Arabidopsis thaliana: one gene and its partner. The protein of the gene in region 1 interacts with the protein of each later gene in a pairwise test. Each region holds a gene or a part of one and is shown in the gene's direction. Other genes may lie near its edges. The genes, in order: AT1G34750 and AT1G04960.

Evidence for each region.
Region 2: the proteins of AT1G34750 (region 1) and AT1G04960 interact in a protein complementation assay, tested with the Arabidopsis thaliana proteins (one large-scale study listed by BioGRID).

The regions. Positions count from the first base shown.
Region 1 is NC_003070.9:12,735,280-12,739,876, reverse strand, and holds AT1G34750 (Protein phosphatase 2C family protein), read left to right. Parts: upstream 1-1,680; 5' UTR 1,681-2,007; exon of another isoform or gene 2,008-2,104; 5' UTR 2,105-2,149; coding exon 2,150-2,188; intron 2,189-2,347; coding exon 2,348-2,587; intron 2,588-2,669; coding exon 2,670-2,946; intron 2,947-3,118; coding exon 3,119-3,273; coding exon of another isoform or gene 3,274-3,300; exon of another isoform or gene 3,301-3,353; coding exon 3,354-3,491; 3' UTR 3,492-3,877; downstream 3,878-4,597.
Region 2 is NC_003070.9:1,406,993-1,412,665, reverse strand, and holds AT1G04960 (golgin family A protein (DUF1664)), read left to right. Parts: upstream 1-1,797; 5' UTR 1,798-1,992; coding exon of another isoform or gene 1,993-2,047; 5' UTR 2,048-2,241; coding exon 2,242-2,481; intron 2,482-2,632; coding exon 2,633-2,714; intron 2,715-2,842; coding exon 2,843-2,910; intron 2,911-3,036; coding exon 3,037-3,138; intron 3,139-3,224; coding exon 3,225-3,314; intron 3,315-3,660; coding exon 3,661-3,735; intron 3,736-3,836; coding exon 3,837-3,869; intron 3,870-3,971; coding exon 3,972-4,049; intron 4,050-4,151; coding exon 4,152-4,208; intron 4,209-4,465; coding exon 4,466-4,645; 3' UTR 4,646-4,894; downstream 4,895-5,673. Other genes in the region: AT1G04970 (lipid-binding serum glycoprotein family protein), read right to left, coding at 1-10, 155-506, 612-751, 1,043-1,450; TAFII59 (TATA BOX ASSOCIATED FACTOR II 59), read left to right, coding at 5,482-5,607.

The DNA.
Region 1 (4,597 bases):
CATTTCGGGCATCTCGTTAAGTTTCCGTTAACAAAAAAATCACAGAATTAACACTCCGTTACCATTTTCTGTTAAAAGTGAAACGACGTCGTTTTGAAATTCTAAATAAAAGAAAAAAGTAAACCCACAAGGATTCGAACCTATGGTCTTTTGCCTTTCAAAGAATCATTAAACCACTGAGCCACGAGAACATATTAACAAAATGAAAAACACATATATATATAAGATATAAATATACAATTAATTAAAAATAACCAAACAAAGATCTATATTAATGCATTTAATTTAAATTATTCTTTCTTAAATTATATAAAAAAAGAAACATATGAAATAGAGAAAATGAAATATATTGCCTAAATAAATGGTTTCTTATATTGTTTCCATCTAATTATGAACATCACATTTAATTATTTGAAGATGGAATGATTATATTTTATGTTTATCTTATATATATATATATATATATATATTACAAGTTAATTTATCGAATAGATATGTTTTTATAATTAAAAATATTTATAAAATTAAATTGAATAAAATTCTATGTGCATGTATAAATTAATCCTATATTTATTTGAGAAGGATTGTATAAATTTTAGCCTATTTTCTAATTTCATAAGTTTCAATTTTTTTCATAAAATAAAATGAAGAAAAAATAAATTTTCAGATAAAAATTCAATGCATTTAGAAGAAATCTCTATATGTAAAATTAAAAATATGATATTTCGAAATGTATATTTATGGTATGTATATTTAATATTTGTACATATTTGGTTATTTTTAATTAATTGCATACGTATATGTTATATAGATCCGTTTGCAATCTGTACTAGAATAATATCGTGGCCCCAATGGTTGAGTGCATCTGAGGAAAACAATACGTATCTGGATCGACGTCGTTATTTTATTTTAGATTTTCGTGGACTCACAATCGTTATTTTATTTTAGATTTTCAAACGACGTCGTTTCGTCTGTAACAGAACATATTAAACGGAAAATTAACGCTGTATTTTTTTTGTTAACGGAAACTTAACGACATGTCTAAAATGGCGAAGTCAACGAAACTTTACTATTTTATTAAAAGTCAAACAAAACTTTACGATTTTAGTGGCATTTTTGAAGTTCATGTTTTGTTCATCCCAAATTTGAAAGTTTATGTTTTTTTGACATTTTTCCCGTTCTATATTTCACAAGTTATTTTTAATTAGTTTTGTGTATATATATAAATATTTCAGTTTACAATAATATCAAAACGTTATCGTAGCATATTTGGTTGAGCGCTTGTAATAATTCTGGAGAGTCATGAGTTTGATTCCTTCTTGGCACATATTGTGTAATATATTTTCATTTTGAAACGACATCGTTTCGCTTCTAACGGAAAATGTTAACGAAAAGTTAACTCCGTTGTTTTGTTGTTAACGAAAACTTAACGACATGTCCAAAATAGCAAAGTCAACGAAACTTAATTATTTTATCAAAAGTCAAACGAAACTTTATGATTTTAGTGGCATTTCGAAAGTTCACGTTTTTTTATCCCAAATTTGAAAGTTCATGATTTTTTTGAGAATGCTAATTAATGATTTCAAGAGTTTTCTTTAATTGAGAATGACGTCGTTTAGCAAATGAATGGATACATAACATGTCTGATTACTCTCTTAAACCAGTTAACAATATTTAAATCATATTGAAAACAAGAGGACAAAGCCAGAGCGACTCTGCTTTTAAGACACGGCAAAAAAGTCAACCAACGAACCCAATAACAAGGAAAGAGATTTGTTTTTCATTTCTAATGGAAAAAAAACAGCAAAAATTGAAGTCTACTCGTCGTAGTAGTCGTCGTCTTCCACTAATTCCGTGGTTTTTTTATCGAAGACTTTTGAATAAAGTACATTTGCAGAGTCTGTCAATAACCCTTTCTTCACGGTATTGCTCTCAAGCCGCGTACTGGTAGGCTCCAAAATTATCCCTTCTTTATGGTTTTTGGAACCTGGGTTCTCCGATTTTGAGGTAATCCTTATGTGGGTTCTTTCTGATTTCGTGTTTTGTTTTATTAAAAGGACTTCTATGTTTTTTTGGGGGTTTCTGAAAAGTTCGGTTTTTGCAGGTTGTTGAAATCTTTGAGTAGATTTTTGTGGAACATCTGACTCTCATGGCGAAGTTATGTTGCTTCGGTTCTTCAGACTACGATGTATGTAATCTCAAATCTTGTCTTTTTTTTCTTTTCTCTTGGGCCAATAAGTGGTTAAGATGGTACTATGTCTTGTTGAGTTTGAGAGATGTCTTAAACATTTTGTGTCTAATGTTGAACAATTATGAGATATGAATTTGTCTTTGTTGGTTGGTGTAGCTTGTGGTTGGGAGGGCATCGACTAGTTCTGGAAAAGGGAGAAATAACGACGGCGAGATTAAATTCGGTTACAGCTTAGTGAAAGGGAAAGCTAATCATCCAATGGAGGATTATCATGTGTCTAAATTCGTGAAAATAGACGGTAACGAGCTCGGTTTGTTTGCAATCTACGATGGTCATTTGGGTGAACGTGTTCCTGCTTATCTACAGAAGCATTTGTTCTCCAATATCCTCAAAGAGGTGTGTAGAAATTTTCACTATTATATAGGCTCTTCACTGCATCTACTGGCTCGTGTTTGAAACGGTGTGTGTGTGTGTTCAGGAGCAGTTTAGGTATGATCCTCAGAGATCAATAATTGCTGCCTATGAGAAGACAGACCAAGCCATTCTGTCACATTCTTCTGACTTAGGCCGTGGTGGCTCAACGGCTGTAACCGCTATTCTGATGAATGGACGGCGTTTATGGGTGGCAAATGTGGGTGATTCTCGGGCGGTTCTATCTCAAGGAGGTCAGGCAATACAGATGACTATTGATCATGAGCCGCACACTGAAAGGTTGAGCATCGAGGGTAAAGGAGGCTTTGTATCCAACATGCCAGGTTAGTCTTCTCCTTCACTCGTTTTTGAAAACCGTCTTTCCTAATCGTTTTATAAAGATGTTTGATTTATTGCAAATCAGGATTTCGCGGTCCTACAGATAATACCAAAACGTATCAAATTCAGATAAAAGTTATCCCAACACATGTTTTATGTTCTGTTTTTTTTTTGCAGGAGATGTCCCTCGGGTTAACGGGCAGCTAGCGGTTTCTCGTGCTTTTGGAGACAAAAGCCTCAAAACACATCTACGGTCAGATCCTGACGTTAAAGATTCATCGATCGATGATCACACAGATGTTCTTGTTCTTGCTAGTGACGGTCTATGGAAGGTAAACAATGATGTTTGTGATTTGTGAAGGAACTGGTTGGCGTTTTTGGATTAAAACGGTTTTGATGTGTAAATGTGTAGGTGATGGCTAACCAAGAGGCGATTGATATTGCGAGAAGAATCAAAGATCCATTGAAAGCAGCGAAAGAACTAACAACCGAAGCGCTTAGAAGAGACAGTAAAGATGATATTTCTTGCATTGTCGTCAGATTAAGGTGATGAAAGATCTTTTGAAACCCACCAAGGAAAAAAGATGGAACAACTAGAAATGGAAGAAACCAAATAAATAAGTTTGATTTTGAAGAGTAGAAGATATTTTTACTTGTGTTTTTTTACCTCCGGTGTAGAATGGTTGATTGGTTTGCGCAATGTTTGGTAATTTGATTGGATTTTTTTTTTTGTGGTTTGTGTAAGTGAAAATGAATCATATCAGATTTGGTGTATAAAACCATGAGAAGATTACTCTCAAGTGGGTGGGGAGTGTATATAAAAAGCTGTGTGCTTCTTCTGATCTATGTTATTAAACAGTTCTCTATTTTCGTTGTTTTTTTTTTCGTTTACAATGTTTGTTTTTTTCCGATAATATACTCGCTCATATATTTTAATCAACCGAAAAAAAATTCAATAGAAATTAAACAATTTATAAAAACTATTTGTGATTCTTCATTGGTAAATAAACTGTGTTTATCTTAAAAAAAACATAGTTGAAAAATTTATTAACAACCAAAACATATTTCGAATACATCGACAACCAAAAATATTCAATATAAATTAATTAATTTGTAAAAACTATTTGTGATTCTCCATTGGTAAAAACTACTCGCCCATACATTACACAATTAGATATTAGAATAATTTACATATTTTTAGAGTAAATACTTGAATCTCTTAAAGTGTATCGTATTATAGACATCAAATGAAATTTATTAAGCGAAGGGTCAAAATGTAAAAAGTATTAATATAACTAAGTTAATAAATTAAACATATGTGTTTTGATAGAAAAACAAGATAATATCAACATTTAACTTACGATCGCCTCTATATGTTGTTCAATTTTATCTTGCATTAAATCGAAGTAACATATGCTTCGTATATGATATTTTGTGTTGATAAAGATAGAGTTATCAATCATCGGCAATAGACTATGGTACAAAATTCTCTAATTGACAACATAAGGGTTCAGAAAGAGAAGGCAGTGGTACAAAGTTTGAAAAAGTACTCCCTAATAGACGGATTATGTGCATATAACACGATCTAACAAAAGGCAGTATTGAAATTATCAACAGTATCATTTCTTCTTGTAAAAATCGATTTTATATTGAGAA
Region 2 (5,673 bases), about 11 Mb from region 1:
CAAAGTCTGCCTGAATATGGCAAGAGTGAACATCCTCATATTAGAAACAACGGTGGAAAACAGTAATATTGATGTATCGGAAACATATAGAACAGTTTTATCAAGAGCATTCTTTCTAGTTGGAACCTAAGGAATTAGGAAATTAGGAACTTACATTATAGTACAAAGCTGCAGCAGAGTTAAAAACAGCTTCGTCAACTGAAATTCCGAGCATTTTAGAATTTCCAGGGCAGATAACTAAAGATACAGACTTTTTGAAGAAGGATTTTAAGACTTGATTTGTTTCTCCTTTGGTGAACAAGCCATCAATCTCAAAAGTGATAGATGAATTTCTCAATATAGGATCACTGGTGAAAGTGACATTAAGGTCAGCATTATCATCCACTGGGATTTCCTTTGGAAGGCTTTGTAGGAATGAATCAAGGTCTGATACTCCTTCCGTGAGTTTCTTGGCAATGGTACTTTCCACACTTGACCCAATTTGGTCTTTAAATGCATTAACCATCCTGAATTGCAGAGAAGAGAATGAAGTTTAAAATGAAAAACAAACCAACACCTGTCTTGCAATAAGAGGGAGTGGATCTATCATCAATAAGCAAATTATTTCGTACCCCTGATAAAACCATGATGCTCCTCCTTCCAACTCAATGGTAATGTCTTCCACATGGCATCCACATTCCGAAAGAGAAAGTTTTAAGCCTCCTTCATCACTTTTCAAGCCTAGAGAGAGCCCGATTTCCATGCCTTGAACCTTACCGAGAAGGCGAGAATCAGCACTCATCAAATTCCCTTTGTAAAACAGATATAAAAATGAGCAGATCACAGCAACAACTAAAACCAACACATGGAAATGGTAAACAGAGAGCAACAGTCACCTCTGATTCCCATATGCAACTATGTTCTAAGACATATAACAATCACGAAACATAAGGATACAAAACAGAACAGAAATTTGTGATTCGCAAGAAAAATCTTGTCTTTCCATTGATTCACAAGATTGAGATGATCAAAACTAAGAATTAGTAAAATTGATCATAATTACCTGAACAGATGCAATACCCTGATCAGATATTTCAATAGGAGGAAGCCAAGTACTGTAAGAATAATGCCAATTCATACTCAAATTACAAGTCGTCCCTGAAGCGACGATGACAACACCTGTCTCACCAAGCTTAACATAAGATGACGCAACGTCAAGCTCGTATATCGTGAGATTCGAGACAACAACATCGATTCCTCCAAGGAACGGGATTTTCATAGATTTCTCAATTCTGGGAATCTGGAGAGGTATAATCGACGCGATAGCTTTGTTAACTAGAAGATTTTTGACGAAATCGAGTCCGTTTTGAGATACGAGAACCGATGTGAATGAATCGGTGCTCTGCGTTTGTGAAGGCAAGAAGAAGAAACTTGGTAATAGAAGAAAGAGAAAGCATCGTCCAACATCCATGGCGGATATTCAAAGCTTTTTTTGTTTTGGTCTCTCTATCTTCTTCGATGAAGAAAACAGGTTAATACAGTGAAGTTGCGTAATGGTTTGGATTATTGAGAAATGTCTAAAATAACCTTAGTCATTCGATTTGCATTGCCTTCTGGGGTAATCTGATTCAAAAGGAAGTGTTTGGGGTGAATACATAAATTGTTAAAATATTAATGTTTCTGGTCAATCAAAGCTAAAGCTGAGGTCTATAGGGCAATAAAAGTATAAATACATATGTAATTGTATATACTGTACATATTAACGTTTGATATGTATATAAGCTCAAGTGGTGTTAAATATTCTAATATGTGTCTAAGGACAATAGTTCGATTAAAATTGGAAGCTTCGGGGGTAAGAACATAAGTTTTGAAAAGTATTTATCTTTGTGGTAAATCAAAGCTAAAATTGAGGTCTAAAGGGCAAAAGGGTGTCATAATTGGTCTCTCGCGGTGGCTTGGCGACACGGAACAGAGAATTAATCGAGAATCTTTTTCAGCTTGTAACCGGAATTCATGGCGATGCAAGCCGGTGTTCAGACCTCTAAGGTCCTTATCCTACTCGGCGCAGGTCTCTTTCTCACTTTGATGCTTGTTTTATTATCTTTGCTTGTTGTAATCAAATTCGATTCGTATTGCTTTGACTCTCTAATCTAGGGAATTGTTTTATGAAGAGTTAGGGTTTGAATTTATCTTGGCAAATTGATTGATCACTTTGCTAAAATGGTCCAGAACTTCTAATCTTCAATCGTTAGTGTAGTTTTGATGGTAATACAGCTTGGATGTAGCAAGAATGATTTAGTTATTCTAGCTTGGATGTTCCATTTAATGACCTTTAATGACACTTGGTTCTGTTTTCATCATGTCCAAGGTGTATCTGGTTCGATCGTATTGAGACATGGGAGGTTGTCTGACCTAATAGCCCAACTTCAAGACTTACTCAATGGTGCTCAAGGAGTTGAAAGCACTCCTTTTAAGTATGACGGTGCACTCCTTGCTGCTCAGGTATTTCATTTTCTTTTGCTCTGTAAGCTTATTTTTCTCATCGATCCAACATAAACAATCGGAATAGAAAATAATTCATCACTCTTTATCACTAGGCCAATACTGGACTCCCCTCTTAGTGACATAATTTTTGTTGTCTCTTGATAACCAGATTCGACAGCTTGCAAACGAGATCAAAGAACTAACTATGACCAATCCAGTTACCATCTTTAATGGAGATTCAAACTCCAGTGGTATGTACAAGTCTTAGTTTCTCATAAAATATTTATGTACTACTTTTGATAATGTAGGAAATGTTTCAAATATGTTTATTTTTTATGAGAAACAGAGAATGATATAATCTTTGCTTTTGCTCTTGTAGGCTATGCATCTTACCTGGTTCCAGCGGCTGCCGTTGGAGCTATGGGGTACTGCTACATGTGGTGGAAGGTGTTTATCTCTTTAAAATCTGTCTATTTTTCTCTATGTTTCATGTGTCTTTTGTTATAGTTTTGTAACATGTGGTTTACCGGTAAACTATATATCATTGACTTCTAAGGTTTACCCACATTGCAGGGCTGGTCGTTTTCAGATGCAATGTTTGTGACAAAGAAAAATATGGCTGATGCGGTTGCCTCTGTTTCGAAACAACTAGACGATTTGTCAGACACATTAGCGGTGAACAAATAATTTTTTTGAGACCTTCCTCTGTTATATATTCTATTTCATTATGATTTTTTGACCTAGTGCATTTGTTTACGCAGTCAACAAGGAAACATCTTTCTCAGAAGCTAGCGACCTTGGATTGGAAGGTGGAAGAGCAGAATGAGACATCTAAAATGATCTTAAGTGATGTAAGGAACCCGTTTTATTTCTCACTTTCTTGTATTGATGCCTTATTTTTTCCTTAGACTTAAGATTAGGATACTTATACATTCGTCTGAGAGAGATCTCCTCTTGTACATTTAACATCTTAGAAGAATTTAAAACACATTTAGGAATTCCAAAAGATTGTAGAGTATTTATTTATTAACGTCCTATCTCTTTGGCCCTGAACTGTTTTTCTTCACATGTACAGTAGAGTCCTTTGTTTCTTTCAAATTACAGCTTGATTCTCATATCTGCGATTTACTCCATCTATGCCTTTCTTTGATATTCATTTTAATGCTAATGCTCACATGGAATCTTGCTTCAATTCAGGTTACTGAGATGAGATCAAGCATTTCGCAAATTGGGTTTGATTTTAAGCAACTTAATGAAATGATTTCTGGAATAGTAAGTCTCATCATTGCCCTCTAATATGCATCATTGCCCTCTAATATGCATATTTTAAAGGGGCTAATATATCTTTACTCTCTTATATGAAATTTTTACAGGAAGGGAAGATTGAAAGTCTTGAAAGCAAACAAGTAATTTGTCTACAACCATTAGATACTACAAACCACTTCACGCTATCAATTTTCTTAAAACTAATTGATCTCAAACAGATATTTTTTTTGTTAAAATTTTAGGATGTGACCCTCTCTGGACTATGGCATCTATGTCAAGTTGCAGGCGTTAAAGACAGCACAAGTACTAAAGTATTTCAGGTGAGTGTTAACTTACAAATTAAGTGAAACGTTTTCTTACTTATTTTTCACGTAGTTATAGGCCTTAATGAAAAAAATCTTGTTTCTGGCTTTGTGGTTTAGGATGTTGGTGAGAGATTACCTATTGATGGAAAACCATCCACTAATACTTCTCTCTCTGTAAGAATGCTACTATACCTTTTTCCATCATATAAATGTGCATTTCCATTCTGTTGACGCAAAAAAGTTGCTTATAGTGAAAAAATTCAACGAGATGGTTGATCTTGAATTTGCATATATTCAAGGCAATCTCTCATCAAGCTTATTCGAATAAAAATTGGAACCTGAAAATACTTGTGGTAGTAGCTGTTATTTGATGATTTCATGTCATGATGTTTCTTTGGCTTTCTAAAACTATAAAACTATGGAAACTCCAGGGTCTGCGGTTTCTGACGGAAGGCAAAGAGGATGCAAATGTAATACACAAGCCGGTTATGGCGAAAGAAATTATGGTGATGGGGGAAAAAACAAAAGTCACTGCAGCGGGAAGAAGCAGAGTTCATAGAGCGTTTCCAGGTGGAATATCTTGGGTACGGGATGTTTCAGGACTATCCTAATATTATTTTGGTTGATATACAAAGAAATTGCTTGTATTCGTCCCAAATTCTGATACTGGGACTGGCAATTATTTTTTCATGTAAAAAGAAGAAAAATCTACATATGTTATTGCATCCACCAACAATTTGGTTTGCCCCTAATTATATTTGGTCTTGATGTTTGTAAAGAAAGAGTGTGATTAAGGCTTTCACGTATGTTGATGTCTTCATTGATTTGGACTTTTGTGCTCCTTTTTCCTTTTGTGTTTGGATCAATTTTGTTTGTGTAGAAAATAGAAAGAACTACCACAGAAGACAGAACTACTGTCTTGAAACATTTGTTTCGTCCTTTCTCGTAGGATTAATTGTCTTTAGTTGGCAGAGAAATAAAATATTTCGCTCTTATTGGGCCTTGGCCCAAAATAGATATAGAGACAGCCCAAATTTAATTTAACCCGAAATAGTCCAACCGGGTGAATTTGACAGCAATTAAAAAACCCGGCCCGGCTTCTTATATTAACAAGAGGCTTGGCATCGGTTAATCGGAGCTTCTTTCCTCTCAAGTGAAGTGTCTGGATCTTCGTCGCTCAACGCAAATCCCTCTCCGGTTCATGTAAATTTCCAACTTATTTTTGTGCTCGAATTTTGGTTAACGGGACAAATTTCACACTTTTACGGAGTATGGAAGCAGCCTTTGTCTTCTGGGCTGTTGAATTGCGATTCATTGTGTATGCCCAACAATGGTTTAATTGGGAGGTTCCAATGATTTTTTGTGCTTTTTTCTTACTTAATATAACCACTGTTGATGTTTCTTCTGTGTCCTTGTATCGCCACAGTGGATAAGCAGCCTGGGGAAGATGAGCATTGTACCTAAGGAAACGGTTGAGGTAATAGCTCAAAGTATTGGGATTACCAACTTGTTACCTGAAGCTGCTCTTATGCTTGCTCCTGATGTTGAGTATCGTGTCCGAGAGATCATGCAGGTTACCTTCTTTTTCTAATCATGTCTTTGTGTTCTTGAGGTGAGTTTTCTGGTATCAGCATATTGA